Linked DNA regions of Saccharomyces cerevisiae S288C. The protein of the gene in region 1 interacts with the protein of each later gene in a pairwise test. Each region holds a gene or a part of one and is shown in the gene's direction. Other genes may lie near its edges. The genes, in order: UTP8, NAN1, UTP9 and UTP5.

Region 1 (8,666 bases):
AATGCGGCGCAGGAAAGAGATACCAAAGGAGTGAGATCTCAACAGCATGTGCCACATCCGCGCATATACAATAAATGTAACAAGCGCCCCGAAATGGAGCTACGAACTATCCCAGCACTAAAAGCACATATATTGTATTGTCGCTACTGCAAAGTGCTAAACATCAATAATTTCGAACAAGCGGAAATAAATCACAGTTCTTTCAATTGCTTGCCTCCCAATACGCCACTGATAAATGTCAAAATTTCCACGTCACCGACCCTTCAATGGTAGCAATAGAAAGATCTACAAAGGCTATGAAGTAAAGGGTTCTCACCTTAAACGGCTGAACAGGAATAAGGGGTGTGCGGCCGGGTAGCGAGTTGCTTTTTTAAATTGAAACGAGGAGAAAAGAACCGGGAGAGGGGTAGTCGAATGCTGAACAGTGCAGACAACATACCATTCTTATCCATCGTTCTGTCATATATATCATCGTTCTTGTGCTTGCTACCCCGTGGACCCTCGTACATCTTAAACCTGAGAGCAGCTGCACGCAATTAAAAGAAAGAGGTCAATCAACTACGTATTCAAAACATGCTATTCAATATCAACCGTCAAGAAGACGACCCCTTTACGCAATTGATCAATCAATCTTCGGCAAATACGCAAAATCAGCAAGCGCATCAGCAGGAAAGCCCTTATCAGTTTTTGCAAAAGGTTGTGTCCAATGAGCCAAAAGGTAAGGAAGAGTGGGTCTCGCCATTTAGACAAGATGCCCTCGCCAATAGGCAAAACAACCGGGCATATGGGGAAGACGCAAAAAACAGAAAGTTTCCTACCGTAAGTGCTACTTCTGCCTATTCAAAACAGCAACCTAAGGATTTAGGGTACAAAAACATACCAAAAAATGCTAAGAGAGCCAAAGATATTAGATTTCCAACTTACCTAACTCAAAATGAAGAAAGACAATATCAGTTACTAACTGAGTTGGAACTAAAGGAGAAACATTTGAAATATTTGAAGAAGTGCCAGAAAATTACTGACTTAACTAAGGATGAAAAAGATGACACTGACACTACTACTTCTTCGTCCACTTCTACATCATCATCGTCATCGTCATCGTCATCGTCATCGTCATCGTCTTCATCAGATGAAGGGGACGTTACTTCTACTACCACATCTGAGGCCACTGAAGCAACTGCTGACACTGCAACTACGACAACCACTACCACCAGTACTTCTACTACCAGCACTTCTACTACTAATGCTGTCGAAAATAGTGCTGATGAAGCAACTTCCGTGGAGGAAGAACATGAAGACAAAGTGAGTGAGTCTACTTCAATTGGCAAAGGCACTGCTGATTCAGCTCAAATTAATGTAGCGGAACCAATCTCATCCGAGAATGGGGTGTTGGAACCACGCACTACAGATCAAAGTGGCGGTTCAAAGTCAGGTGTCGTGCCAACAGACGAACAAAAGGAGGAAAAATCCGATGTAAAAAAAGTCAATCCTCCCAGTGGGGAAGAAAAAAAGGAAGTGGAAGCGGAAGGGGATGCAGAAGAGGAAACCGAACAATCGTCTGCAGAGGAATCTGCTGAGAGAACGTCTACTCCAGAAACCTCGGAACCGGAATCCGAAGAAGATGAAAGCCCAATCGATCCAAGCAAGGCTCCCAAGGTCCCTTTTCAGGAACCTTCTCGAAAGGAAAGAACCGGAATTTTCGCTTTATGGAAAAGCCCTACTTCTTCATCTACCCAAAAAAGTAAGACCGCCGCTCCATCCAATCCAGTGGCCACTCCAGAAAATCCTGAATTAATTGTAAAGACAAAAGAACATGGTTACCTATCAAAGGCAGTTTATGATAAAATCAATTATGATGAAAAAATTCATCAAGCATGGTTAGCTGATCTTCGAGCAAAGGAAAAGGATAAATATGATGCTAAAAATAAAGAATACAAAGAAAAGCTACAAGATTTACAAAATCAGATTGACGAAATTGAAAATTCAATGAAGGCCATGAGAGAAGAAACTTCTGAGAAAATTGAAGTTAGTAAAAACCGGTTGGTCAAAAAAATCATTGATGTTAATGCCGAGCATAATAATAAGAAACTAATGATATTAAAAGACACTGAAAATATGAAAAACCAAAAGTTGCAGGAGAAAAATGAGGTCTTGGACAAACAAACCAACGTTAAGTCAGAAATCGATGATTTGAACAATGAGAAAACGAATGTCCAAAAGGAGTTCAATGACTGGACCACGAACTTAAGTAACTTATCTCAACAGTTGGATGCTCAGATCTTTAAGATTAACCAGATTAATTTGAAACAAGGCAAAGTTCAAAACGAAATCGATAATCTGGAAAAGAAAAAGGAGGATTTGGTTACCCAAACTGAAGAAAATAAGAAGCTGCATGAAAAAAATGTACAAGTTTTGGAAAGTGTAGAGAACAAGGAATATCTTCCACAAATTAATGATATTGATAATCAAATATCAAGCTTATTGAACGAAGTGACCATAATCAAGCAGGAAAACGCCAATGAAAAAACTCAACTATCGGCAATTACCAAAAGACTCGAAGATGAGCGCCGCGCTCATGAAGAACAGTTGAAGCTAGAAGCTGAAGAAAGAAAACGCAAAGAAGAGAACTTATTGGAAAAACAGCGCCAAGAGCTGGAGGAACAAGCGCATCAGGCTCAATTAGATCATGAGCAGCAAATTACTCAAGTCAAGCAAACCTATAATGACCAATTGACTGAACTACAGGATAAGCTGGCAACCGAAGAGAAAGAACTGGAGGCAGTCAAGAGGGAAAGAACGCGATTACAAGCTGAAAAGGCTATCGAGGAACAAACTCGCCAGAAAAACGCTGATGAGGCCTTGAAGCAAGAAATATTGAGTAGGCAGCACAAACAAGCTGAAGGTATACACGCGGCTGAAAACCACAAAATACCAAATGACCGTTCACAAAAGAATACGAGCGTCCTTCCAAAGGACGATTCCTTGTATGAATATCATACTGAGGAAGACGTCATGTATGCCTAAAAAAAATAATATTCCACTTTTGTTCAAGGAATATCCCACCTCTATTTTATTTTTCTCTTCTATTCTTTGTCGAGTATCATCAAGTTATCCTTTGATTATTTTCACCCTTCCTAATCTACCTCTCTTTGTAACCGTTTTATGTACCAATATTTACTCAATCAACAATTTATCAACCAGTTAGTTATTCTCTAGTGTTTCGTGCTCAAATAACCGAGTAAGATGGACTCTCTTCTGAAGCACTTTTGCGGGCATTTAACCTCAGCTCGTCACGTGACGGTCGATGAAAAATCCAGGGTATTAAAACTTTCCTTTGGTTATATCGGTATATTCTAAATAAAAGAGAAGCTTATTCTGATCCTTTTGATTCCCTGCTCAATTTTTCATTGAATTGTTTATTTTTGTCATTAATGAAGCTTTCAACCCCATACAGTGTTTTTGCATTTTGCATTTGTCTTTTTCTTGCTTCGTATCTTTTTTTCGACTCAGATTGCAAAGAAACGGCCAACTTATTAACTAGCTTGTCGTCATCTGCAATTGTTATCTTACCCGTCTTAGTGTCCTTCTGTACCTTGCCGATTCTACCCTTCTTGGGTACGTTTTTATTGTCTTCTTCATCGGCGGAACTATCCTGTTTGCTCGAATTCTGTGTTTGCGTAGCGAGATTCCGCAAGGTCTTCTCATAACTCAATTTTGCAAGTTGATCATAGGAAATTCCACCTCTTTGGCTTTGCCCAGTCTTCCCTTGAGGATGCCTACGTTCCCACGCATCATATTCTTGGACAGTGTAATGAAATGCTTTCTCTTTTTCAGGACTTTCTGTATCTCCTACTGATTCATCTGCATCATTTACGTCTTCCATACTGTATACTCTTGGTTTTCGATTTGCGCTTACTTCCTGAATCTCTCTGTCAGCCAACTTCCTACTCTTTATAGATACATCTACTCTTTTCCTTTTCAACTCCTTCAGCTTCTCGTCTAATTTGTAAAAATCCATTCTTCGAATACTTTGACAAGATATGGTTTTGCTTCGCTTACAGTTCAATAGAGAAGTCAAACATTGTCATTGAGAGCCCCTCATCGCAAATATTGCTCTTTTAAGGAAAATATAGTAATATTCTAGCTTTTTTGTCATTCTACACGGAAATGTCTGTATTTTTCAAATTTTTTCATTATGCTGTAGCAGATGCCTGAAAAATTTGAAAACTTTGATGAGATGAGGTCACTGTTAAATTTGTAATATTATATGTCACACCTAGCGCTCCTTGAACAGCAAATCATTCCGGAGGATAGTAAAGATTCAAAATGCCATCCCTGTCTCAACCATTTAGACTAGCAACTCTCCCAAAAATTGCTTCATTGAGCAATTTTTCTTTACAAGCAGATTACGTTCAAGTCGCAGATGGCACCTTTAATGAATCTACAAATAACATAACGTTAGGTATTTCCGGGTCATCTATATCTCAATATATTATTAATCCTACACCAAAGTTAACATTCGATTACCCAATACCCTCTACAAATATTATCACGGCATGCAATGCTGAGAAAGGTCAAGCGAACATTGACGGAAATATAGAAGCCAGTACCGATGATGAAGCCAACAACGAGAAGACTATCAACACCCAAAAAAAAAGAAATGTTGAAATTTGGGCCTTTGGTTTAATGGTAAATAAGGGTAATTATACGCTAAATGTTATCACTAAGGCACTGGAAGATACCACTGATACCTCAAATGACCATCTGAGTGAGAGTGATATTGACAATAAAGCATACACGGGTTCAGACGAATTTTTATCTCAGTATAAGATCAAGGCGAAAGCCAAAGTCATGAGTATTAAAATTGACACCAAGAACAGCTTAGTAATTGCAATTTTACAGAACGGGTTGATTGAAATTTTTGATTTTAAGTTAACACTTTTGCATTCATTTGATATATCTTATGATAACTTAAAATATGCTAAATGGTTCACTGAAAATGGAACTGAATATGTTTTTGTTCTCTGTCCATTACAGGATGATAAAGTCTGCTATAAATTGCTCGAGCTAACAGATTGTGGCAGTGGAGAAAGTTCGCCCATAAAAGAATTATCATCTACTATCATCGAAGGATTTTCTTTTGAAAATTCAAAGCTTTGTTATCAATTTGGAAAACTTTACAAATTGAACCAGGGGAAAATATACATTTACTCTTTACCACATTGCCAATTGCAACAAGTTATTGAATTTCCGATGGTGGATAAACTCAGTCCTGGAGATGACTTAATCTCTTTCCAACCTGTTTCAGTAAACAGAGTTCTACTGACCGTAAACAACGTCATTTATCTACTAGACTTACTGCATTGTTCTACTTTAAGCCAAAGAGAATTAACTCACGTGAAAACATTCCAACTATTAAAATCTGCAGTGATCAATTCAGAAAAGTCGCATAATTCAAAAACAATAGCAATTGGTATTTCAACGAAAAATGGACCAAACCCAACGTCTTCCTTAGAAATAATTAATATTGATGTTGGAACTAATACGTTGAAGGACTCATTAGGCAAGAGTTTTCAAGTTGGAAATAATGATAGCTCAGTTATTTTAAAGCCGCTATTTGATGATAAAGACATAAATGACAAGAGAGTGAAATGTAACGACGTCAGCGGGGATTCAAGCGTTCCAGTCCTCCACTGTAATGAAGTTATTGAAAAGCTTTCAGCCCTTCAAGATAATGACATTACATCATTTGATGACATATTTTTCAAAGAACTAAAAATCAAAGAAGAACATTATACTGAAAAAGATAGATATATTTCTGATCCTGGCTTTTTGAATAAAGTTTTAGATCTAATTTTCGGAAAGTTTAGCGGAAATGATTATCCAAAAACTTTAACGTTTTTATTGACACACCCATTGTTTCCATTGAGTCGTACACGCAACTTGCTATCCTTACTAAGAGACCAACCTAGATTATTTAAACAAGCAATTGTAACATGCCCAAACTTGCCATTAAATGAACTACTTGAAGAATTGTTTTCTATCAGAAACAGGGAACTATTACTTGATATCTCATTTAGGATTTTGCAGGATTTCACCAGAGACTCTATTAAACAAGAAATGAAGAAACTAAGTAAATTAGACGTTCAAAATTTCATTGAGTTCATAACAAGCGGTGGTGAAGACAGCTCACCAGAATGCTTCAACCCTAGCCAAAGCACGCAGCTATTTCAACTCTTGTCCCTTGTGCTAGATTCTATCGGGCTATTTTCATTAGAAGGTGCTCTATTGGAGAACTTAACCTTATATATTGACAAACAAGTTGAGATTGCTGAAAGAAATACCGAATTGTGGAATTTGATTGATACGAAAGGTTTTCAGCATGGGTTTGCTAGCTCAACCTTTGATAACGGAACTTCTCAGAAGCGAGCCTTACCCACTTACACCATGGAATACTTGGACATTTGAGTATGCAATGAATTTGATTGTATTGTATAATACCTATATAGAAAAGGAACTAATATATATAGCGTCTACTGTGGTTACTGATAAACTAACAGGCATTTAGAATTTGAAAACATCATATACATTAGATGTGTCCAACAAGAGATACCGGAATGTTCTGAGGGGAAGAAGATGGAATTTAAAGCTAGTTTGAAATAAAATGGAAGATTGTGATTTTTACAATTTGAATTTAAACCTTTTTTCCTCCTTAGGTGAGGTTACCGAATACTTGCGCACGTCTTCATCTGAGCTATAAAGGACCCTTTCTATAAAGGTAACTCTCGTTGAATCCTTACTCACGAGTAAAACTATTTGAGAGCGAGTTCCGTAGTAATCACCATCAGGAATTGAGGCACCTAAGTCATCCCTGGGAGGCCTCCGTAAAGGTGGTACGTATATGGTATTCATGGTTACATTTGGATCTACCATCTGCAAGACATCTGGGTTTGAAATAGTGCTTGGAAGGGAAGACTTCGAGGCGAGTTGAAAGCAACTTGATATTATTTTCTCCTCATCTGATTCAATATTCTCTAAAACTAGATTTTCTAAACTATCACGTGCTACCTTTACTTTTTCCCAAGCCTGCCCTGGTATACTGGAGCTGTCATAAAATTTACCATTAGAAACAACCATGTAAGAATCAAGATCTTTCCTACAGGTAGAACTCAACACATCAAAAGTTCTTCCTAGAGAATCAATAACTTTATATTGCTTTTTGATAACGTCGCCGTAAAAAAAATTAAAATCACCTGTGGACTTCAACCCATCATAGTGACCTTCAAACTTTTTGTAATTATCCCAATCTTCAAAATCTGCTTTATGGATCGACAAAAATATAAATGGTAACAGACCACGGGATCTTGATTTCGTATTATTTTGCTCATTGTCAAGTTTTAAATTAAGAATAGTGGCTAATTTTCCTTCTTTATTTATGCCAGACCAAGTGCCAAATATTTGTTTTTCTGCTGAGGTTTTGGCCAGATCGTAGGGTGAAAGGATAAAATCATTGTTATGCCAGCATGTAGCATGTGTTTTTCTTGCCAAGAATTCGTCTCTGTTAGATATTAAGATGAGTTCATAGTCAGGATGTGCCCTTGTGGCCATTAAAATGCACATTATTTGTTCGTTAGTTTTTGGTTTTTAATACTTTAGCCACAGGTGTGTTAATAAATGCAAGCGTTTCTTTCCTTTTCTGCCTCACTTCATATACTACTATCCTACTCCACTTTCAGGGGGAGACTATTTTTTTAGCGCTTTAGGAATTGAACGAAAAAGTCGAAAGCTAGGCAGATGCCAAGAATATAATGTGAGGCAAAAAAAAAAAAAAAAAAAAAAAAAGAATGATTCTGAAGTAAACGCATTGCGAACTAAATGTTGCTATGCCACTTAATCGAAAATTCTATGAAAAAACCCCTTGATCCCCTTTTCTGATTTATGTTTTTGATATTTTTCGATCCTCTTCTTATTCTTCTCTACTGCCATGTTCAACTTGTTTGGTTCTAGAGAAGAACCTTGAGAATTTGTAGTAACCTTGGATCGTGTCGAATGCATATCTGTATGGTCGTTAATATGCTCTTTTTTAGTTGAGGATACGCGAGAGTCCTCCCTCTTCAAACTTTCAAGCGTCTTCAATTTGACCAACCCGGTTTCAGTTTCTAAACGATACTCTTCTGGAAATGCAGCATCGTGAGCTGAGTTTGTTACTGGGGCGGTAATATCCGGAAGAGCTTTCTTGTTCAAATTTAAACCATCTTCTTTTAAGGAATCAACTGTTTCTGAGTTGCCCTCTAAAGCATTGTGGGTAACCATCTTTTCTATCGAATTTGAAGTTGGCCTTTTTAAAGTACTAGAACTGTGATGAGAATGCACATCTGAATGACGGTGTTGATCATCTACATTACTATCATCTTCCAGTTGCCCCTTTCCAACAATGGTATCGTTTTTTAAAAGAGGCTGTTCTGGAGCTTCAGAATCTTTGAACCCAGTAAAGGGCTCCGGTTTGTAAGAGTCAATAGAAGAAAAGGACGATATGTCTTCATATTCATTATCGGTAGTGACAGTAACAGATGGGACAGGCATAGTCTACGTTGATACGTTGTTATGACTTTGATTTGTTAATGCGGATATAAACTAACCGTACAACTACCCGTTGTGAATTGTTG
Region 2 (9,577 bases), on another chromosome or scaffold:
GTGGATTTCCTTTAGATATAAGCGTTTTCTTGTTGGAAAAAGCAGGTGAGCGGAAAATACCACACGATTTGAACTTTCTACAAGAGAGTTATGAAGTGGAGCACGTTATCCAGATTCCTCTCAATAAACCACTTTTAACAGAAGAACTTGCGAAAAGTGGATCTACTGAAGAAACGACGGCCAATACAGGCACCATTGGGAAAAGAAGGACTACCACGAACACAACTGCAGAACCAAAGGCGAAGAGAGCTAAGACGGGCAGTGCATCTACCGTGAAAGGGAGCGTGGACCTAGAAAAATTAGCGTTCGGATTGACTAAACTAAATGAAGATGACCTGGTTGGTGTTGTTCAAATGGTTACCGACAATAAAACACCAGAAATGAACGTGACGAATAATGTTGAAGAGGGTGAATTTATAATTGACTTGTATAGTTTACCTGAGGGATTATTGAAAAGTCTATGGGACTACGTTAAGAAAAATACCGAGTAATAAAAGGTAAAAGGGCGTTAAATGCGCGCTTTTATGTTTGTATAAATAAAACACGTTGATATTTTGTCTTATATAAACTTTATTCCAATAACCGCGACACCTTACCAAACACATATTATTACAACACATTTTTATCTTGGATTTTAAGTAATTATACAACAGTTTTCATTTTAGAAAATGAGAACATCAAATATATACATTCCAATGTAATAGAAAATGGAAAAGAAAAAAGAATAAAAAGAAAAACACGAGGGGACCAGGTTGCTAGAAGATAGGGTGACCACGTCAAAAGAATATACCTAGGGAACCAAACAATGCGAAGTTAACAACCCATCAAAGTATTTTTAATAGTGAGTGGTTCAATAGAAAATTAGAAGTCTGTTCATTTAAGCGCGCTACATCCCATCTTCTAAATGAGGATCAAAACCTGTATTGTCCGATGTACTATTGCCAAAAAGTCCGTTAGATGGCATATTATCACTATTTTGCCCATGTGAATCCTCTTGATGAGTTTGAGTGTCTTCAGTAGCAGATGCAGCTGATGAAGGATGCTGAGATAAATTTTGTTCCATAATAGTTGACGAATTTGGAGATTGAGAGAATTTTTTCTTTGCCTTGTAGATTTTCTCCAAGTTACCGGTCACTTTTATCAAATAGTCAGGCAATGGTTTGCCACTCTTCAAGTATTGTAATTTCCAATTACGGGCTTTATCTTTCAGTTGTACCTGCGTCCTGTTCTTCAAATTTTCCGTGATTTTACCACCGGGACCATATAAATCTAGAATCTTAGACCACGATGGGCCAACCTCTTTCAGGCCTTCCACTAATGCTTCTTCTTCCTCTTTGGACCAAGTTCTTTTCGCCTTTGGTTTTCTTAATCCGATACTACCATTATTGTTGCTGTTACTGCTGTTGTTATGAGAGGAATGAGGACCAGAGCTGCTGTTGCTCATCGAGGCCGCAACAGCGGCATCCACAATGGATTGTGTGATAGCGGGGTTTTTGGAAGACACATCTGTGGTAGGTGTATGTGTGCTGTAATGATTCGGACGAGCAGTTGACAAAAAAGCAGACGCACTGCTTGGCTGATTTTGGTCGTCCATGAATTCTACGGTCCTGGTCCCTGTAGAAAAGAGTACTTGAGGATCAAACTCGTTGACATCAAAGTCATATAATGGTGATTTTCCGCGACCCTTTCTGCCCCATATGATGAGACCCATATTTTTATTACAATAATCCAGCAACTCTCTGATAAATTGAGCCCATTCGTAGCTCTGGGTCAGAGAGTTAAAATCTTGGACGATCTTTAAATTTTCTCTCCGACGATCGCACCTTTCGACGAAGTCCTTCTCCGATGGAGTCAAAAGTGTAATGTCTCCAGAATCGCCGGTTCTTCTCTGCACGAGAATATCAGCCAGATTGGATGGGAAGATTAAGTCTAGTAGCTCTTGTTTCTTTTCTAAAGAAATTTCGTTCGTCTCGTCCTGAAACTCTTTCAAGCCGGCAATGTAAGCCTGTGTTTTCAGATCAAGATATAGGATAGCCTGCGATTTCAAAAACTTTCCGCTTTGTTCCAGGGAGTTGTTACCGACAGTGTTTGTATTTGGACAGAAAATATCGAGAAATATCGACTGTAGCAGCTCAAACCCGTAATTAAGGCAGTTCAGCGACGTCAATAGAAATGTTAGCAGATTCGCCTTTCTTATGGCAGTAATAATAAACGCTTCGTGGCCTCTCAATATAAGGGGGGGAGGGGAGTTGGGAAACCATAAACCAGGCGCCACGTCGTGAACAGACAGTAACGGAGATCTGGTGTGGTAAATCATTCTGATCTGCTTAAAGAGCTTGACTAACGTTTGAAAAATTTCTGTTTCGCCTGAGCTTAGGAAAGCCGTCTGGTCCGTCAAAACCGCTATAATATTGGGAGAGTTGGCATTAAGGATAAGAAACCTCAGTAGTTGAGTGGAGATATTGTCCAGCAGACATAATGAGCATATGGTCAACCTAGTTCTTGCAGGCAGGCTTTGGATGATGTCATTGAAGCGGTTTAAGCTTTCGTTATTATTGGGCACTTGCGAATCCATGACAAATGGGGAAAGAAGTGAGTAAAGAAAAACTAATGTAAAATGATTTCTGTCGCAGATGGGACAGCCACAATCTTAAATGTTGGCAAGGATATAGGAGCAAAACGCCAATATTGAGATGATTGTTTATTATAATGTTTACAAGGAAGGGCAAAGCATTGAGGAAAATTAGTCGGAATGAGGTCTCGCCGGGCTTCTACGGAAAGGGGCGAAAATTAATAGGGCACGGTGCAGAATATTAGGGCTTCAAATGTTCAGATTTTAAAGCCTTTTCTTCAAATACAATAATTAATTTTACACACTGTACCTTGCATATATAAGAGAAGAGAAATTTATAAACAGTATAGTTAGTTAGTTAAGAATGGAATTTGAATAAAATCATAAAGGAGATATTTACCGAATAAGTAACAAATAGAGAAGGGAGAGATTAAAAAATGAAAATTTACAGTACCGCCAACAAACACTTGAATAAGATTGAAAATTAGAGAGAAAAAAATTTAGAAATAATACAAAATACTAATAGTGATGGGACACAAAAATGAAGAAAGAAAATAGGTTTGATAGTATTGCTATCACCATTGACATTCTCGTTTGGATATTCACTTTTTACGTGGAGAGTTTGACCTTCTTCTTGTTTAGTTTAATAATGCCGGAGGGGCCCTTTGGTTGCACTAACTCGCCGTTTTCAACACATTTCTTGATAGCGCTATTGAACAGATAGTCAAAATTTGAGCTTGTTTTCAACTTGGAGGAGAAAGTGTCCTTGACATACTTCTTTAAAACGATACGGCTGGAGCCCTTACCGTCATTAAGTTGAGGCATGCTTTTAAGGATCATTTCCTTGTAGGTCAATGAAGAAGGCGAAGAGGCCTTCTTGGCGGTAACAGTAGGCGATTTTTTTTTCACTACTTTCTTTGGCGCTAGCTTCGTGGATGCGGCTTTCGCTTTTGATGCGGTTGCACTCACAGAAGTGGCGGCTTGCTTGGGTTTTGGACTGACCTCTTTTTCTTTCTTTACTTCTGGAGATTTCTTCTTGGCCAGTTTCACAGCACCAGCGGGTCCCTTTGGCTGTTCAAAATCGCCGGCCTCCACACCCTTCTTTATGGCATTGTTGAAGTACAAATCAAAGTTGCTTGCGGATCCGACGATCGGGTAGTTTTCCTTGATAAACTTCTTGAGTGCCGGACGACTGGATCCCTTACGTTCCTTCAAAGCCGTGAGCCCTTCAATGATCAACTCCCTGTAACTCTTGGAGGAAGCTTCCTCCTTTTTTGCCGTGGTTTTCTTGATAGCGGCCTTGGAAGTTGATTTCTCCTTGCCTTTGCTGGTTGCAGGCTTCTTGCCCTTACTTGTGGTCTTGGTAGTGGATTTCTTGGGTGCCATGTTGCTTTAGTTGTATTATAATTGCTTCCCTCGCTGCCAAGCATTATCAGGTGCCCATAAATAACAACTCCCCAAATCTATAGTTGCTCCTCCTCTTTAAATAAAGGCAGATAAACAAAAAACTTTGACCGCCCGCTTTTCCACACAAAAAACAAACAACAGCAGAAAACGCGACGCGAAAATGAAAAGCCAAAGAGAACAAACAAAAATCATCCATCAAACCTGTTATTGTGCAGAATAGCTTTTACCTAGACGCAAGTCCCTAGGAGGGGGCATTTTTGACACAGAATAGCATTTCATCAAAGCAAACAGCAACTTCTTGGAGATTTGTATTGCTTGGCATGTCAAAATCTAGCGGTCACATCAGTAGGGTAACAAAATAGCACGTCAGGGTTAAGGCGGCCTACTGCTTAGGGTACGTGGTAAGTGATGTAAAATGTGAGAAGGAGAAACTAGAAAAAAATTTTCCTTTCTTTTTCCTAGCGATGAGATGAGATGAAATTTTTCGAACAAATGATTTTTGGCACAGTTTACATATCAGTTATATTGGCTGTCGTCACAGGAACTACAAGTACAAACCAGAACCATTTTAGCTGATCACCAGAATGACGCAATCCCTAGGTATCGAACAGTATAAACTGTCAGTCGTATCTGGTGGGAAACCCGCTTTGAATAATCTCAGTTCAGTAACCGGCAATAAGAATATCGCCCGCCTATCACAAGACCAACGAAACTATATTATACCCTTTAACAATCAGATCAAGGTGTATTCTGTGGAAACTAGACAATGTGTTAAGACTCTAAAGTTTGCAAATAACTCCTTGTTATCCGGAATATTTCTGCAAGAAGAAGAGAATAATGAATCGATTGTAAAGATTCTGCTGGGTGATATAACCGTTCCGCAACAAGAAGACGCTCATCTGATTACCGTATTCACCAATAATGGTCATGTAATTGTTTTAAATTATAAGGGGAAGCTGGTCGAGTCCCCTAAGCATTTCAAAATCTCTTTGGCAGATGAAAAGCTTGCAAATGTTTTCCATAGCGAGGGCAACTATAGAATTTTGACAACGTTCAAGGACCCTAGTCAAAAGGCACATAACTCTTTGCAATCGTACAGGTTATATGCATTAACCTTTGACGATGCTAAAAAGCAATTTGAAGTGGCTCATCAGGCAGAATGGCACAACGTTATCTTGTCAAATATTTCTTCCAATGGTAAACTGCTAGCGCATATGTGCAAAGACGTCTCAACAAAAGATCACGAACACAAATCCATCTCAGTTGTTTCGCTTTTTGATGATTCTGTAAATTTAAGCTTTCCCCTCGGTTCCATCCTTTCTTCACAGACTCAATCCCTATCCTATAACACAAGGTACGTTTCTAGCATGGCCATAGACAATATGGGTCAACAACTGGCTGTTGGATTTGCCTCCGGAGTTATAAGTATCGTAAGCCTGGCCGATCTACAAATAAGACTGCTCAAATGGCATATAGACTCTGTGCTGTCACTCTCATTCTCTCACGATGGATCCTATTTGCTATCTGGTGGTTGGGAAAAAGTTATGAGTTTATGGCAATTGGAAACAAACTCTCAACAATTCCTGCCTCGTTTGAACGGTATTATAATCGACTGTCAGGTATTGGGACCTCAAGGGAACTACTACTCTTTAATCCTACAAATGACTGAAAACAATTCAAATTCTGACTACCAATTTTTACTTTTGAATGCTTCTGATTTGACCTCCAAATTGTCGATTAACGGGCCATTACCGGTGTTCAATAGCACCATAAAACACATTCAGCAACCAATCTCGGCCATGAATACCAAGAACTCCAACTCAATTACCTCTCTCAATCACTCTAAGAAGAAACAATCTAGAAAACTAATTAAATCGAGAAGACAAGATTTCACCACTAATGTAGAAATAAACCCTATTAACAAGAACTTGTATTTCCCACACATTTCTGCTGTTCAAATTTTTGACTTCTATAAAAATGAGCAAGTTAACTATCAGTATTTAACATCAGGTGTCAACAATTCTATGGGTAAAGTTAGATTTGAACTGAATTTACAAGACCCAATAATAACTGATTTGAAGTTCACCAAAGATGGGCAATGGATGATTACATACGAAATTGAGTATCCGCCAAATGACCTCTTATCTTCCAAGGACTTAACTCATATCTTGAAATTTTGGACCAAAAACGATAATGAGACAAATTGGAATTTGAAAACGAAAGTAATAAATCCACACGGGATAAGTGTCCCAATTACCAAGATATTGCCTTCACCAAGATCAGTTAATAATAGTCAAGGCTGTTTAACGGCTGACAACAACGGTGGACTGAAATTTTGGTCCTTCGACTCTCATGAGAGCAACTGGTGCTTGAAAAAAATTTCTTTACCAAACTTTAATCATTTCAGTAACTCCGTTTCTTTAGCTTGGTCTCAAGACGGGTCTCTAATATTCCATGGTTTCGATGACAAGTTGCAAATTTTAGATTTCGACACTTTTAAAAAGTTTGAATCATTGGAAAATACAAAGACGGTCAGTGAGTTCACGTTAGACTCTGAAATCCAAACCGTCAAGTTGATTAATGACACAAATTTAATAGTGGCCACCAGGACTACATTAAACGCCATCAACTTATTGCGGGGTCAAGTCATAAATAGTTTTGACTTATATCCGTTTGTTAACGGAGTGTATAAAAATGGTCACATGGATAGGCTTATTACTTGTGACGAAAGGACAGGCAACATTGCCCTGGTTATAAATCAACAACTAACTGATCTCGATGGCGTACCAACTATCAATTACAAATCCCGTATTATTATATTCGATTCTGACTTATCTACAAAATTGGGTAATTTTACGCATCATGAATACATATCTTGGATTGGTTGGAATTATGATACTGATTTCATATTTTTGGACATAGAATCAACACTAGGTGTTGTCGGAACCACTGTGAATACTCAACTATCTGATGAAGTTAATAACGAAGGAATATTGGATGGCCTGGTAAGTAACACCATCACAACTTCGGCATCCAATAGCGATATTTTTGCAGAACAATTGCATAAACTGTCGTCTAGGGGCAAAAAAAGTGACACTAGAGATAAAAATACCAATGATAACGACGAAGATGAAGAAGATATCGCTTTGGAATTTATAAATGGCGAAAAGAAAGATAAGCTAGTCAATATGAATAGTTTTACGAGCATGTTTGACAACATTCAAAACGTGCAAATGGATACATTTTTTGATCGTGTGATGAAAGTATTAACATAGCTTTAGGGTTCTTCCATTGGATATCCAAAATAGATATAAAGGTATATATATATATATATATATATATATGTTTATAAAGCAAACCGAAAGCAAAAATATCTGTATAACTTAGTTACAAGGGAAGGGAAGAGAATGCATTGGTTAATAGGAACAGACACTTCGTAAAAAGCTTCACAATCATTAATGTTAATAGAACTATCATAATATACAAAAAATCTCTTCATACGATTTTTGTTTGATGAGCATCCTCAGTCAAGATGAATAAAATAATCTCTCCAAATAAGCCGCCTCTTTTTTTTTGAATTACACTTCTATAGCGTACATTTCCATGTAAGAAGATTGAAGTTTCAAACAATTGGGTAGCTTAATATTTGTCAAACTTCTTGGTAGGTGTTGTGTTTAAGAAAAAGGAGGCACCATAAACTATTAACTTTTTAGCTTGCCTCAACTGTCAACCGAATCAAATTTTAAAAGGCGTTAAACAAAAATGGCCTCGTCTCTTAACGAGTTAAACTTGGTTCAAGTACTTGAACAAGCAAGTAACCCACAACATATTAGGTCAGATGTTCAAAAATTAGCCGAACAACAACTAAGACAATGGGAGACTCAAGCGGGATTTCATTACTTATTACAGTCAATCTACCTTAATTTATCTAATTCTTTACAAATTAGATGGTTGGCGGTAATTCAATTTAAGAACGGCGTGGATAAATACTGGAGATCCACTAGAATTAACGCTATACCTAAAGATGAAAAAGCCTCGATAAGAGGTCGTCTTTTTGAAATGATCGATGAACAGAATAATCAACTTTGTATTCAGAATGCCCAAGCTTCCGCAAGGATTGCAAGGCTAGATTTTCCCGTAGAGTGGCCAACCTTATTTGAGGATCTAGAAAACCTATTGAACGATGAGATCATCAGAAAAGATTCAGTTAAGATTTACAATATATTGATGCATATAAATCAAATCGTTAAAGTATTAGGTACTGCGAGAATAGGAAGGTGCCGACCCGCTATGCAAAGTAAAGTTCCTTTGATATTACCACTAATTGTCAGGATTTATTTACAATCATTTGAAGAATGGACGACATCCTCCAATCTCAACTACGAGGATCTTTCCAGTTTACAAGTTTCTTACCTAGCTTTGAAAGTGCTCAGAAGGATAATTTGTGAAGGATACGACCGCCCTCAAACCGATCAGTCTGTTTGCGATTTTATTAAACTATCCGTTTCACACTTTGAGATGTTAATTTCAAACCATGAAAACTTCAAAAAGTTTGATATTTACGAAAAGTTTATCAAATGCCTAGGAAAGTTATATTTCAATTTAGTCACTGGCTCTCCGGCTAATTTCATATTACTGCCATGCTCTACGCAAATTCTAATCACTTATACTAGGCTAATTTTCGATAAGGCCCCTAAAGTATATAGAGAGAATTCTGATGTCACGGGGGACTTTTGGGAACAGACTGCTATTAGAGGGCTTTTAATTTTGAAAAGGGTCATTAATTTCATTCACAAAAAGGGGGCAATTACGTTAAAAGCAAGAAGTGATAAACTAACCATAGATGCTTCTATCAACAAAATCAACACAGAATTTCTGAATGAGAATTTGATAACAAGGTTGGTTGACACTTTAATGGAATGGTACTTGAGGTTAAGACCAACTGAATTAGAAAATTGGTTTATGGATCCAGAAGAATGGATAAACGAACAAATGGCCACGAGTTACGAATATCAAATCAGACCATGTGCAGAGAACGTTTTTCAAGACTTAATGAATACTTTCTCTGAGCTGTTGGTTCCCTACCTGTTAAAGAAAATTGAAAATGATGCTTCAAAGCTATCAAACTCATTAGACGATTTTTTAAGGAAAGACGCAATTTATGCAAGTTTCCAATTAAGTGCATCCGCTGTTAGTGAAATGGTAGATTTTGACAGGTTACTAATTCAGGTTTTTTTACCAGAAGCTACAAATACAAACATATCAGGCGACGAATTAAGGATTATCAGAAGAAGAGTTGCTTTAATTATAAACGAATGGTCTACTGTGAAGTGTTCGGAAGAATCTAAAAGTTTATGTTACAAGTTATTTACAAACTTCCTGACAGATGAAGACGACAAAGTTGTTTTGTTAACCACAGTCCAGACTGTCAGAACCATGGTTGATGACTGGAACTTCAACAAGGATACTTTTCAGCCATTTTTAACTGAAAATGTTCATTTATTGTTGAGGAAAATTTTACCATCTGTGTCGTTAACCGAGACAAGGCTATATGTTTTAAACACCTTGAGCGATATCATAATTCAAACAAAACCTTTA
Region 3 (3,780 bases), on another chromosome or scaffold:
CTCGGTGCTATCGCGTGAGGAATACCTACTCCTGTCACTTTCTGTACATATGCATTTACATAGCATCGTTCTTTCTATCAGTTTATCTAATTTGTGACGCATCTTTCTTCTTTCTACACTGCGGAAAATCCTATTTGAAAAAAAATAGACGAAAAATATCAGGACCCACCCCCTTATGAAGGAGAGAAGGGGAAGAGGAGCTGCAAAACAAAAAGGTGAGGCTTCTTCTGTCCAGATTTTTGTGAGTGAGAGAGTGTGTGGGAAGAGAAGGAATTAAACCAAACAAAAATTGGAACCAACAACTGTTGCGTTTGCGTGTGTGCATAATATCAAAAAAGCTACAAATATAATTGTAAAATATAATAAGCATGACTCGTCCCCCATTGGTTCGTGGAATCTTTTCGTTAGGTCTTTCTGTAGCCGTTTTGAAAGGTGTTGAAAAAACAGTTCGTAAGCATTTGGAAAGACAGGGATGGATAGAGCCCCAGAAAGTGGACTATGAGTTAATTTTCACTATAGATAGGTTGAAAAACTTGGTAGATAATAAGCGTGAGGCTTTAACTGCGGAACAACCCGACGCTGGTGAACTGAGCTGGCGTAAAGTATTTAATTTCATTTCCAGACAATCCAGCGAATTGGACACACGAATATACGTTCTTATACTACTCCTATCCTTTCTACTACCTATCGCGTGGACTGTACTGGACGGTGATCGCGAGACCACGCTAGAAGATAAGGATAACGATTGTAATGTAGATCTTATTGAAAACGAAAGGAGGCTGAAGCATTACAACGATGGTGAAAGAGCAGTATTGCAATTTGGTAAAAATAGATCCGAACCTATTATATTAAGCTATAAGGACATGAACGTTTTGGAAGGGGAACATGAGTTTACCTCCAAAGAGGAACACAGTAACAGCCATTTGACAAGCAAGAGCGAAAATGCACTAAACCAAGTAGGGAGTGAAGATTTGTTAGGTTGTCACCTGGAAAAGCAATTGGAAGAAGACAAAAATGAACCGAATGGAGAAGCAGACGGTGAGGATGATAATAACCGGGAAAAGGATTGCAGCTCCAGTTCAGAAGTTGAGTCGCAGAGTAAATGCCGAAAGGAAAGTACTGCAGAGCCTGACTCTCTCTCACGGGATACCAGAACAACCTCTTCCCTTAAATCAAGTACATCATTCCCCATATCATTCAAGGGCTCGATAGACCTTAAGTCGTTAAACCAGCCTTCATCATTGTTGCATATACAAGTATCTCCCACAAAATCTAGTAATCTAGATGCACAAGTGAACACTGAACAAGCATACTCTCAACCATTTAGATACTAATGTACTATATTTCCGTCATCTCGGTTATCATCGTCACTTACAACGAGGTGCGAAAATTTTTTTCTTCTAAAGGTGAGAAGAAAACATGAAAAATTTTGAAAAATTTAACGATGAGATGGAGTTTTCAAGTAACTTTATGTAGTTGAAATACATATTAGTACTCCGTTGCAATATATAACGCCGGGCATTCTCCACGTATATACATACCGTAGTGCACAATGGGCTCCTCTTTGGATTTGGTGGCGAGCTTCTCGCATGATTCCACTCGTTTTGCATTCCAAGCAAGCGTCGCACAAAAGAACAATGTGGATATTTATCCATTAAATGAAACTAAGGATTATGTGGTCAATAGTTCATTAGTGAGTCATATTGACTATGAGACAAACGATATGAAGGTTTCAGATGTAATCTTCTTTGGGTGGTGTAGTGATTTGATAGATACGCAGTCATCCAATATCAAAAGAAAATTAGATGAAGATGAAGGAACTGGTGAATCAAGTGAGCAAAGATGTGAAAACTTTTTCGTTAACGGATTTCCTGACGGAAGAATTGTTGTTTACTCTTCTAATGGTAAGGATATAGTTAATATCATCAAGAATAAAAAAGAGATTTTGGGAGCAGACACAGACGAGTCTGATATATGGATTTTGGATAGTGATAAAGTCGTTAAGAAATTACAGTATAACAATTCGAAACCTCTAAAGACTTTTACGCTAGTTGATGGTAAAGATGACGAAATAGTTCATTTCCAAATTTTGCACCAAAATGGCACTTTATTGGTATGCATTATTACTAAACAGATGGTTTATATTGTTGATCCATCAAAGAGAAGACCCTCTACTAAGTATAGTTTTGAAATATCAGACGCTGTAGCATGTGAATTTTCTTCAGACGGTAAGTATCTGTTAATTGCCAACAACGAAGAATTAATAGCTTACGACTTGAAGGAAGATTCAAAGCTGATCCAATCATGGCCTGTCCAAGTGAAGACATTGAAAACTTTAGATGATTTGATAATGGCTTTGACTACTGATGGTAAAATTAATAATTATAAGATTGGCGAAGCCGACAAAGTTTGTTCTATAGTTGTAAATGAAGATTTGGAAATTATAGATTTCACGCCAATAAACAGCAAGCAACAGGTTCTAATTTCATGGCTAAATGTCAATGAACCCAACTTTGAATCTATTTCTTTAAAAGAAATTGAAACTCAGGGGTATATTACAATAAACAAAAATGAAAAAAATAATGCTGATGAAGCGGACCAAAAGAAATTAGAAGAGAAAGAAGAAGAAGCTCAGCCTGAAGTTCAACATGAGAAGAAGGAGACTGAAACTAAGATAAACAAGAAAGTTAGTAAATCAGATCAAGTTGAAATTGCTAATATTCTCTCATCGCATTTAGAAGCTAATTCAACAGAAATATTGGATGATCTGATGTCTGGAAGTTGGACAGAACCAGAGATTAAAAAATTCATCTTAACCAAGATCAATACAGTAGATCATCTAAGTAAGATATTTTTGACTATATCAAAGTCAATAACACAAAATCCATGGAATGAAGAAAATTTACTTCCGTTGTGGCTTAAGTGGTTGCTGACTTTGAAAAGTGGGGAGTTAAATTCTATAAAGGATAAACATACAAAGAAAAATTGCAAGCATTTAAAATCTGCATTAAGATCTTCAGAGGAGATCTTGCCTGTTCTACTCGGTATACAAGGTAGATTAGAAATGTTGAGGAGGCAAGCAAAATTGAGAGAGGATCTTGCACAACTATCTATGCAAGAGGGTGAAGATGATGAAATAGAAGTTATAGAGCATTCAAATGTAATTAGTAATCCTTTGCAGGATCAAGCATCGCCTGTTGAAAAGCTTGAACCAGATTCAATTGTTTATGCAAATGGAGAAAGTGACGAATTTGTCGACGCATCGGAATACAAAGATTGATCAAGCATTTTAAATATATTTAAGTATATACAAAGAAAAGTTTCACATGAGAAGCACTGATTGATGCAGCTATTAATTTTCAAAAGATTACGTTGTCTTCATCATTTGAGACGGGTCATCGCAAGAAAATTTTTCAATATTAAACTATAATAAAATGTAGTAAAAAATAGATGCAATACTACTATTCAATTTTTGTGGTTTTCCAGTTATCAAACTAAGTATAGACAAAATTTGAGCATGTCAGAGGAATTTATCGCAGTTTCTACTTTGGCTAGAAACCTGGAAATTGCCAAGGGTAATGAGTTTCATACCATTTTGGCGACTTTAAGATCACCAGTTTATATCAATGAACAGCTGCTAAAATCCGAATTGAGCTTCCTTGTTACAAAAATCCTAAAACTTATCAGATCAGGCAATGACTTTGATCTTTGGAAAGGATGTCACACCTCTGTTGTGACTTGCGCCTATAATCCACTGGTCTTATCGACTCATGGAGGTCA
Region 4 (8,359 bases), on another chromosome or scaffold:
GCATCGTACATTTATCCCGGGTTACTACTACTGTTCCAACTTTGTAAAGCTCATAGGTGGGACATGGTTGGGTCGAGAGATTATATTGATTCTGTTATCGAAGAACTTTTCCCTATTGTGGAAGGGATAGCTTCTAATATCGGTAGTCAAACGGATTACAGATCTAATGAAATATTGTACCTCATTTTGAAGTCATTCAAGTATGCATGTTTGAACAACTTGCCTCAATACTTCAGCCAACCTGAAAGAATTATGTCATGGGTGCAACTACATTTGTATTTATGTTCCAAACCATTACCAGTCGAAGTAATGGAACTGGATCCCGCAGATAGGTCCCTAGACAAAAGGGTTAAAGTGAACAAATGGGGGTTCGGTAACTTAAACAGATTCCTGCAAAGATACAACAAAATTACAAAGGCCATCACCAAGGAATTTATCGACTATATCTTCAATACTATTGTTCCTATAATTCTTCGAGAATTTTTTAAGGATATTGAAGCTTGGGGTAATAATTCACTATGGTTATCCGATTCCTCTTTGTATTTCTTAATTTCATTCCTAGAGAAATGTGTTACAATAGATCAACTTTATCCTTTAATTGAGCCACATTTACAAATTATTTTTGAGAACGTCATCTTCCCATGTTTGTGTGCTAATGAACAATCCATCGAATTATTAGAAGATGACCAAGAGGAATATACCAGGCGTTATTTTGACATTAACAGAGAAGGCTCTACGCCAGATGCTGCTTCAGCAGATTTCATATTCTTGATTGGGTCCAAACGTCCTGAGAAACTGAACAATATTTTACCGTTCATTAATGATATTTTTACTAGATTCGATGCCAATTCCAGTGATATTAACATGGCATTTAAAGAAGAGGGTGCTTTGAGAACATTGTCTAACTTGTTTTCGTTTATAGATGAGCCATCCGTTCTGGAGAATATTTTTGGACACTTCATCGTGCCATTGTTATCGCAGGATAAGTACATGTTTTTGGTTGCAAGAAGTTTGGAAACGATAGCGCTGTATTCGGAAGAATTTAAAGATATGAACATATTGTCACAATTATTTGAGTTAACATATACCAACTTCTTAAACAGTAACGTTTTACCAGTCCAAATTGAGGCCGCAGATGCCATTAAATGTTTAATTGTATCCAATCCTCAAATCCACCCAGCGGTCTCTGCTCATGTTCCAGGTATGATGGAAAAGCTATTGAAATTGTCTAAAATCTTTGAAATCGATATCTTATCTGAAGTCATGGAAGCATTGGTGGAGAGATTTTCAGATGAACTATCCCCATTTGCTAAAGATTTAGCTTCAAACCTAGTCGAACAATTTTTACGTATTGCTCAAGCATTGGTAGAAAATCCATCGGAAACCTACAGCGCAAGTGACCAAGAGCAGGAAATCCAGGCCAGTGGATTGTTACAAACAATGACTACTATGGTCATGTCAATGAATAAAGTTCCATTAATCGAGTCCTTAGCTCCCGTGGTCAAGTTTGTTGTACTTCATGCACAAATTTCTTTTATTACGGAAGCTGTCGACTTACTGGATGCTTTAACTATTTCTTCGCATCTGCTTTATAACCAAATTGCACCACCAATATGGGAGTTGTTACATGATATATTGGATTCTTTCCAAACTTATGCCATGGACTATTTTGAGGCCTACAGTATTTTTTTTGAAACCATCGTGATGACCGGCTTCCCACAAGATCAAACTTATGTTCAACCTCTGCTAGAAATTCTCTCTGCTAAACTGGAAAGTGAAGTTGACTACGACATCGAGCATGTTATGCAAATTCTAATGTACTTCGCACTGTCCATGAGAGACATTCCATTATTCAGCAAAGCCATCAAAGTATCCACTAATGATGAGCTAGGATTGGACTCTAAATGCATCGTTAAACTGGGACTGGCCAATTTGTTTGCTAAACCAATCGAAACTTTACAAATAATGGAAAATGAAGGTTTTACTATAAATTTCTTTACCAATTGGTTTAATGAAAAGTTCTACAGTGTCTTCGCCATCAAATTACAAGTCCTGGTCATTTTAACCCTTTTGAAGATGCCTGAAGTTCCTAATAGTGTCAGCCCACTACTAAATAACCTGACCAATAAACTGGTGGAATTGACATTATCATTGCCAAAGGCAATTAGAAACCGTGATGCTGTTACCGAGGGCAAATCCTTAGAAGGAGACCTGACCCCAGAAGAAGAAGAAGAATACTTTATCGAATGTGATGATGATATGAAGGAGACAGTGTTAGACCAAATTAATGTTTTCCAGGAAGTACATACCTTTTTCAAGAATTTGCAAAACGAAGATGCCGGTAAGTACGAAAAAATCATAAATTATCTGGATGAATCTAAGAGAGATTCCTTGCAGGTAATTCTGGAATTTGTTTCTCAACACTGAGGAGAACACAAAAAAAATAGTGGAATGTGATAGTTTGAAATAAGGATATTAGTTTATACTCTAATATACAAATATAAAAGTTGTTTCTTTTTCGTTCTTTTTTTTTTTTGGACTTGTCTTCGTTTTTATTACATACATGCATGCGCTTAACATATTCCCATGTGGTTTATTTTCGTATATAGCATTACTTTGTTTAGAAGCTTCTATTCAAGAAGAATCCTCCGACTTAACCGGATCAGATACACTATTGTGGTGTAATCTGGACCTTGACTGTCTAAACAACTCCTCTTGTTGTCGTAGCAGCTCTTCTTCCGAGAGACCTGACTTCTTGAACTTGGAATCCCTAGTTTCTTTCACCTTCTGGGAACCCTTAAAATTCAATAATATTTCCTCTAAGAATGGTATAAACTCATTATACTCCAACTCTTCTAGCGCTTTGATCACGTGCTCGGGCGCTATGGTTTTCTTAGCCTCGTTGTCCGCCATTTCGGAAGCCATCGAGGACAGGATCATTATGAATTCTATGCCGGAGTTGATGATGATTTCTCTTGCATCCTTGGTAAACATCAAATCCTGGTCCAGTATTTCAGATATCATCTTTTGTACGGTCGCTAAGATCATTCAGTGTTTTCTCTAAGTTAGTATAACCGCTCAGTACCCGCATCAAAGCTTGAGTTTTGCAACAACAATATAACTAACATACCCTTGGGAAGCGACACATTATCGGAGTCTCCAGCCATCAATTAATTAATAGGTACAACTGTATTAGTAAATATCGTTATGATTTCTTGCCCACCTTATACTGGTAACTCTGCACGATAGAAATCGACAAGGCGAGCAGAGGGCGAAAAGCGCGACCAAAAACCGCTTCCATTTATATAGGAGGGAGAGTGCAGCGGGCTGGGCGTTTTAAAGTGGTGCAAGAGTTAATTGCACATACTGGAATACGCCAAAGATAAGAGCCCGAGCTGATTAAACCAGATCGTAATTTTTGCGGCGACTATTCGCATGAACAGGCTATGCTGCATAGTGGTGGCATTTCTTTACAATAGTTTTGGTTGAACGTGTTGTACAGTTCCCCTTATTCTTTGATTGTCATTTAACACGGGGATGAGCTTCTTGACAAAAAAATTTTATCCAATTTTTTTTCATTTCTTTTTCTAATCTTTCGCAGCTGAAGCGATGAGGTGAAAAAATTAACAAGTATTGGATAGGATATATGTATGTAAAGATAGATGCAGAGCATATATAGTTTAAACTTGGCTTAGCAAGAGGGTAAAAGACACATTTGCCTTATAATTGTTCATTACCGATGGATTCTCCTGTTCTACAGTCCGCTTATGACCCATCAGGTCAGTATTTGTGTTATGTCACTGTAGCTTTGGACAAGCAACGCGTTGGTGTACAGCCCACTCAAAGGGCCACTTCCTCCGGAGTTGATACAGTGTGGAATGAGAATTTTCTGTATTTAGAGGACTCGAAATTGAAGGTGACGTGCTTAAAATGGGTAAACCTGGCTTCTTCCGACACAGTGGCTATTATATTGGGTATGAATAACGGTGAAATTTGGCTATATTCCGTATTGGCCAACGAAGTCACCTATAAATTCACTACGGGGAATTCTTACGAAATCAAAGACATAGACTTGATGGGTAATCAACTGTGGTGTATCGACTCCAGCGACGCATTCTATCAGTTCGATCTGTTACAATTCAAACTGTTACAACATTTTAGAATAAACAACTGCGTTCAATTGAATAAACTAACCATTGTTCCAGCAGGCGATTCTGTTGCACAACTTTTGGTTGCATCCCATTCCATTTCTTTAATAGACATCGAAGAGAAAAAAGTCGTAATGACATTTCCCGGTCATGTATCTCCAGTGTCCACATTGCAAGTTATAACTAATGAATTTTTCATATCAGGCGCAGAGGGTGATAGATTCTTGAACGTATATGATATTCATTCCGGTATGACCAAATGCGTCCTTGTGGCTGAATCAGATATCAAGGAGTTATCTCATTCAGGCCAAGCCGATTCTATCGCAGTCACTACCGAGGATGGTAGCTTGGAAATTTTTGTTGATCCATTGGTATCGAGTTCAACAAAGAAAAGAGGCAACAAGTCCAAAAAATCCAGCAAAAAGATTCAAATCGTCAGTAAAGACGGCAGGAAAGTTCCAATTTATAACGCATTTATTAATAAAGACCTTTTGAACGTATCGTGGTTACAAAATGCTACTATGCCTTACTTCAAGAACTTGCAGTGGAGAGAAATCCCTAATGAATATACCGTCGAAATTTCCCTAAATTGGAATAATAAAAATAAGTCCGCCGATCGCGATCTACACGGTAAAGATCTTGCCTCAGCCACCAACTACGTGGAAGGTAATGCAAGAGTCACCTCTGGAGATAACTTCAAGCATGTTGATGACGCTATAAAGAGCTGGGAAAGAGAATTGACTTCTTTGGAACAAGAACAGGCCAAGCCCCCACAGGCCAATGAACTATTAACAGAAACATTTGGTGATAAGCTAGAATCAAGCACCGTCGCAAGGATTAGTGGGAAAAAAACAAATTTAAAAGGTTCCAATCTCAAGACTGCTACGACAACCGGGACGGTAACAGTAATTCTGTCGCAAGCACTACAATCAAATGATCATTCACTGTTGGAAACAGTGCTCAATAATCGTGACGAGAGGGTCATTAGGGATACTATCTTCCGTCTGAAACCAGCACTGGCTGTCATTCTCTTAGAAAGGTTGGCAGAGAGGATTGCAAGACAAACCCACCGTCAAGGCCCATTGAATGTTTGGGTAAAATGGTGTTTAATCATACACGGTGGCTATTTGGTTTCTATTCCAAATTTGATGTCTACTCTATCGTCGTTACATTCCACCTTGAAAAGGCGTTCCGACTTATTACCAAGGCTACTAGCACTGGATGCAAGGTTAGACTGTACTATAAATAAATTCAAAACTTTGAACTATGAAGCAGGCGACATCCACTCATCCGAACCAGTTGTCGAAGAGGACGAAGACGACGTTGAATATAACGAAGAACTCGATGATGCCGGCCTTATAGAGGACGGTGAAGAATCTTATGGCAGTGAAGAAGAAGAAGAAGGTGATAGTGACAACGAAGAGGAACAGAAGCATACCTCATCTAAGCAAGATGGCCGTTTAGAAACGGAGCAGAGCGACGGCGAGGAGGAAGCCGGATATAGTGACGTTGAGATGGAATAGAGGATATCATGCATAAAATGCTTTCACGCATCAGAATACAAAAATAATCTCTAGGCACATAAATACTTATATAGAGTTCACCACATAATGTAAGAAAAGAAAAAAGAAAAAAAAAGATCACGAAAGTATCCCACGCGAAGAAGATCTGTCAAAAGACCCCCACAATCGTTTATCCTTTTTGAACTGCATCTGGCATCGTTAACAGTAAGGCCATCTGGAACATCAAGCAAGCACTCCACTTTTACGTCACAACCATAGTTGGTTAACTAAGAAAAGACAGTACATATTTCCCTTCCGAGTCACTTATTTTTTTTTTCTTCTGAAAAAATTAATTAGATTAATTTCAATTAATATCATTTCCGCTTATCTGACTTCTTTCATTTTTTTTCTCTATATTTCGCGTTTACTAGGAAAGAAAAGGAAAAAAAATTTTTCCCCCTCCATCTGTCCCAAATCGGGTAGCGATGAGCTGCTATAGAATTTTCTATTTAAACATGTTTGATAAGCCCAATTTCCGTTAGATTTTGTTCCCCCTTCGCAGTTTGGTTTGCCGTAACTTTTTTATTTTAGTCTCCATCTAGCTGGAGTAATACGATGTAGTGCCTTGTAATCTTTCTTATTTTTATATTACCGTTCGTGTTCATTATATCCATTACGTTCCCATAATGTCGGCAAACGATAAGCAATACATCTCGTACAACAACGTACATCAACTATGTCAAGTATCCGCTGAGAGAATTAAGAATTTCAAGCCGGACTTAATCATTGCCATTGGTGGTGGTGGTTTCATTCCTGCTAGGATCCTACGTACGTTCCTAAAGGAGCCCGGCGTGCCAACCATCAGAATTTTTGCTATTATTTTGTCTTTGTACGAAGATTTGAACAGTGTAGGCTCAGAAGTTGAGGAAGTTGGTGTTAAGGTTAGCAGAACACAATGGATTGATTACGAGCAATGTAAATTAGATCTAGTCGGCAAGAACGTTCTTATCGTTGACGAAGTCGATGACACCCGTACCACACTTCATTACGCTTTGAGTGAATTGGAAAAGGATGCAGCTGAACAGGCAAAGGCTAAAGGTATCGATACTGAAAAGTCTCCAGAGATGAAAACAAACTTCGGGATTTTTGTTCTACACGATAAGCAAAAACCAAAGAAAGCAGATTTGCCTGCCGAAATGTTGAATGACAAGAACCGTTATTTTGCAGCTAAAACTGTTCCAGACAAGTGGTATGCATATCCATGGGAATCTACTGACATTGTTTTCCATACTAGAATGGCTATTGAACAGGGCAATGACATCTTTATTCCTGAGCAGGAACACAAGCAATGATAGACATATCATATCCTTCAGTAACTTGAATCATACAGCAGAATTTGTACAATAGACAACGCATATAACTGCGACCATATGTATACGTATAACTAATTATTATCTCAAAGTTTATTCCCTTAGCCTCACCGGTAACCTGTGAGGCGCGATTACGTTTTCCCTCTGTTCACCACCACGTAACGCGATATTTGACACATACGTGACAACTACTTTTGATGGAATCTGCTGATTTTTTTACCTCACGAAACTTATTAAAACAGATAATTTCCCTCATCTGCAAGGTTGGGGAAGGGTTGGACAGCAATAACCAGCGACTGTTTGAAGAAAAGATGACTGTTAGTAAAATACCCATATGGCTAGATTGTGATCCTGGTCATGATGATGCCATAGCCATTTTATTAGGCTGTTTCCATCCAGCTTTCAATCTTCTAGGAATCAGCACGTGTTTTGGTAACGCACCGCCAGAGAATACTGACTACAACGCCCGTTCTCTTTTGACTGCGATGGGCAAAGCACAAGCGATTCCAGTTTATAAAGGCGCACAGAGACCTTGGAAAAGGGAACCTCATTATGCTCCTGACATTCATGGTATATCAGGTTTAGACGGCACTTCTTTGCTACCTAAGCCAACATTTGAGGCAAGAACTGATAAAACGTATATTGAGGCCATTGAAGAGGCGATTCTAGCTAACAATGGAGAGATATCCTTTGTGTCTACTGGTGCACTTACCACATTAGCAACAGTTTTTAGGTGTAAACCATACCTAAAAAAATCTGTCAAATATATTAGCATTATGGGGGGTGGACTCCATGGTCTAGGAAACTGTAACCCAAATCTTTCTGCTGAATTCAACGTTTGGATTGATCCTGACGCAGCGAATTACATATTCCGTGATCCCGATGTAAAGGACAAATGTATAGTAGTTCCTCTAAATTTAACTCACAAGGCCATAGCTACTTACAAGGTTAACGAAATGATATACAACGAAAAGAATAACAGCAAGTTACGAGAATTGTTTTTGGAGCTTTTTCAATTTTTTGCTCATACCTACAAGGATATGCAAGGATTTGAATCGGGCCCACCTATACATGATCCGGTAGCTTTGATGCCGCTTTTGGAATTTTATGGGTGGGATCCATCGTCTGCGGTTGGATTTCGCTACAAGAGAATGGACATATCCTGCATTGATGATGTTTTCAACGAAAACTCAGGGAAAATTATCATTGAAAAAGAATATCCAAATGACAGTGATGTTGGTACAATAATTGGTCTCGATTTGAATATCCAGTACTTTTGGGATCAGATTTTTGAAGCATTAAATAGAGCAGACAAAATGTCAACGATTGGATAAGAACT

What was found.
Region 2: the proteins of UTP8 (region 1) and NAN1 interact in binary tests that used the Saccharomyces cerevisiae proteins (3 or more experiments, as listed by UniProt).
Region 3: the proteins of UTP8 (region 1) and UTP9 interact in binary tests that used the Saccharomyces cerevisiae proteins (3 or more experiments, as listed by UniProt).
Region 4: the proteins of UTP8 (region 1) and UTP5 interact in binary tests that used the Saccharomyces cerevisiae proteins (3 or more experiments, as listed by UniProt).

The regions. Positions count from the first base shown.
Region 1 is NC_001139.9:745,752-754,417, reverse strand, and holds UTP8 (Utp8p), read left to right. Parts: upstream 1-4,326; coding exon 4,327-6,468; downstream 6,469-8,666. Other genes in the region: YGR130C (uncharacterized protein), read left to right, coding at 574-3,024; SYF2 (Syf2p), read right to left, coding at 3,371-4,018; YGR127W (uncharacterized protein), read right to left, coding at 6,682-7,620; YGR126W (uncharacterized protein), read right to left, coding at 7,891-8,583. UniProt on the Saccharomyces cerevisiae protein: Involved in nucleolar processing of pre-18S ribosomal RNA. Also has a role in nuclear tRNA export. It acts between the steps of tRNA maturation/aminoacylation and its subsequent translocation out of the nucleus.
Region 2 is NC_001148.4:305,647-315,223, forward strand, and holds NAN1 (Nan1p), read left to right. Parts: upstream 1-4,563; coding exon 4,564-7,254; downstream 7,255-9,577. Other genes in the region: TATA-binding protein-associated factor TAF14, read left to right, coding at 1-491; TBF1 (Tbf1p), read right to left, coding at 887-2,575; HHO1 (histone H1), read right to left, coding at 3,182-3,958; karyopherin KAP120, read left to right, coding at 7,742-9,577. UniProt on the Saccharomyces cerevisiae protein: Involved in nucleolar processing of pre-18S ribosomal RNA. Required for optimal pre-ribosomal RNA transcription by RNA polymerase I together with a subset of U3 proteins required for transcription (t-UTPs).
Region 3 is NC_001140.6:490,379-494,158, forward strand, and holds UTP9 (Utp9p), read left to right. Parts: upstream 1-1,552; coding exon 1,553-3,280; downstream 3,281-3,780. Other genes in the region: MDM31 (Mdm31p), read left to right, coding at 1-18; NVJ1 (Nvj1p), read left to right, coding at 369-1,334; RIX1 (Rix1p), read left to right, coding at 3,518-3,780. UniProt on the Saccharomyces cerevisiae protein: Involved in nucleolar processing of pre-18S ribosomal RNA. Required for optimal pre-ribosomal RNA transcription by RNA polymerase I together with a subset of U3 proteins required for transcription (t-UTPs).
Region 4 is NC_001136.10:1,263,732-1,272,090, forward strand, and holds UTP5 (Utp5p), read left to right. Parts: upstream 1-3,739; coding exon 3,740-5,671; downstream 5,672-8,359. Other genes in the region: SXM1 (Sxm1p), read left to right, coding at 1-2,427; negative cofactor 2 transcription regulator complex subunit NCB2, read right to left, coding at 2,635-3,038, 3,131-3,167; HPT1 (hypoxanthine phosphoribosyltransferase), read left to right, coding at 6,337-7,002; URH1 (trifunctional uridine nucleosidase/nicotinamide riboside hydrolase/nicotinic acid riboside hydrolase), read left to right, coding at 7,332-8,354. UniProt on the Saccharomyces cerevisiae protein: Involved in nucleolar processing of pre-18S ribosomal RNA. Required for optimal pre-ribosomal RNA transcription by RNA polymerase I together with a subset of U3 proteins required for transcription (t-UTPs).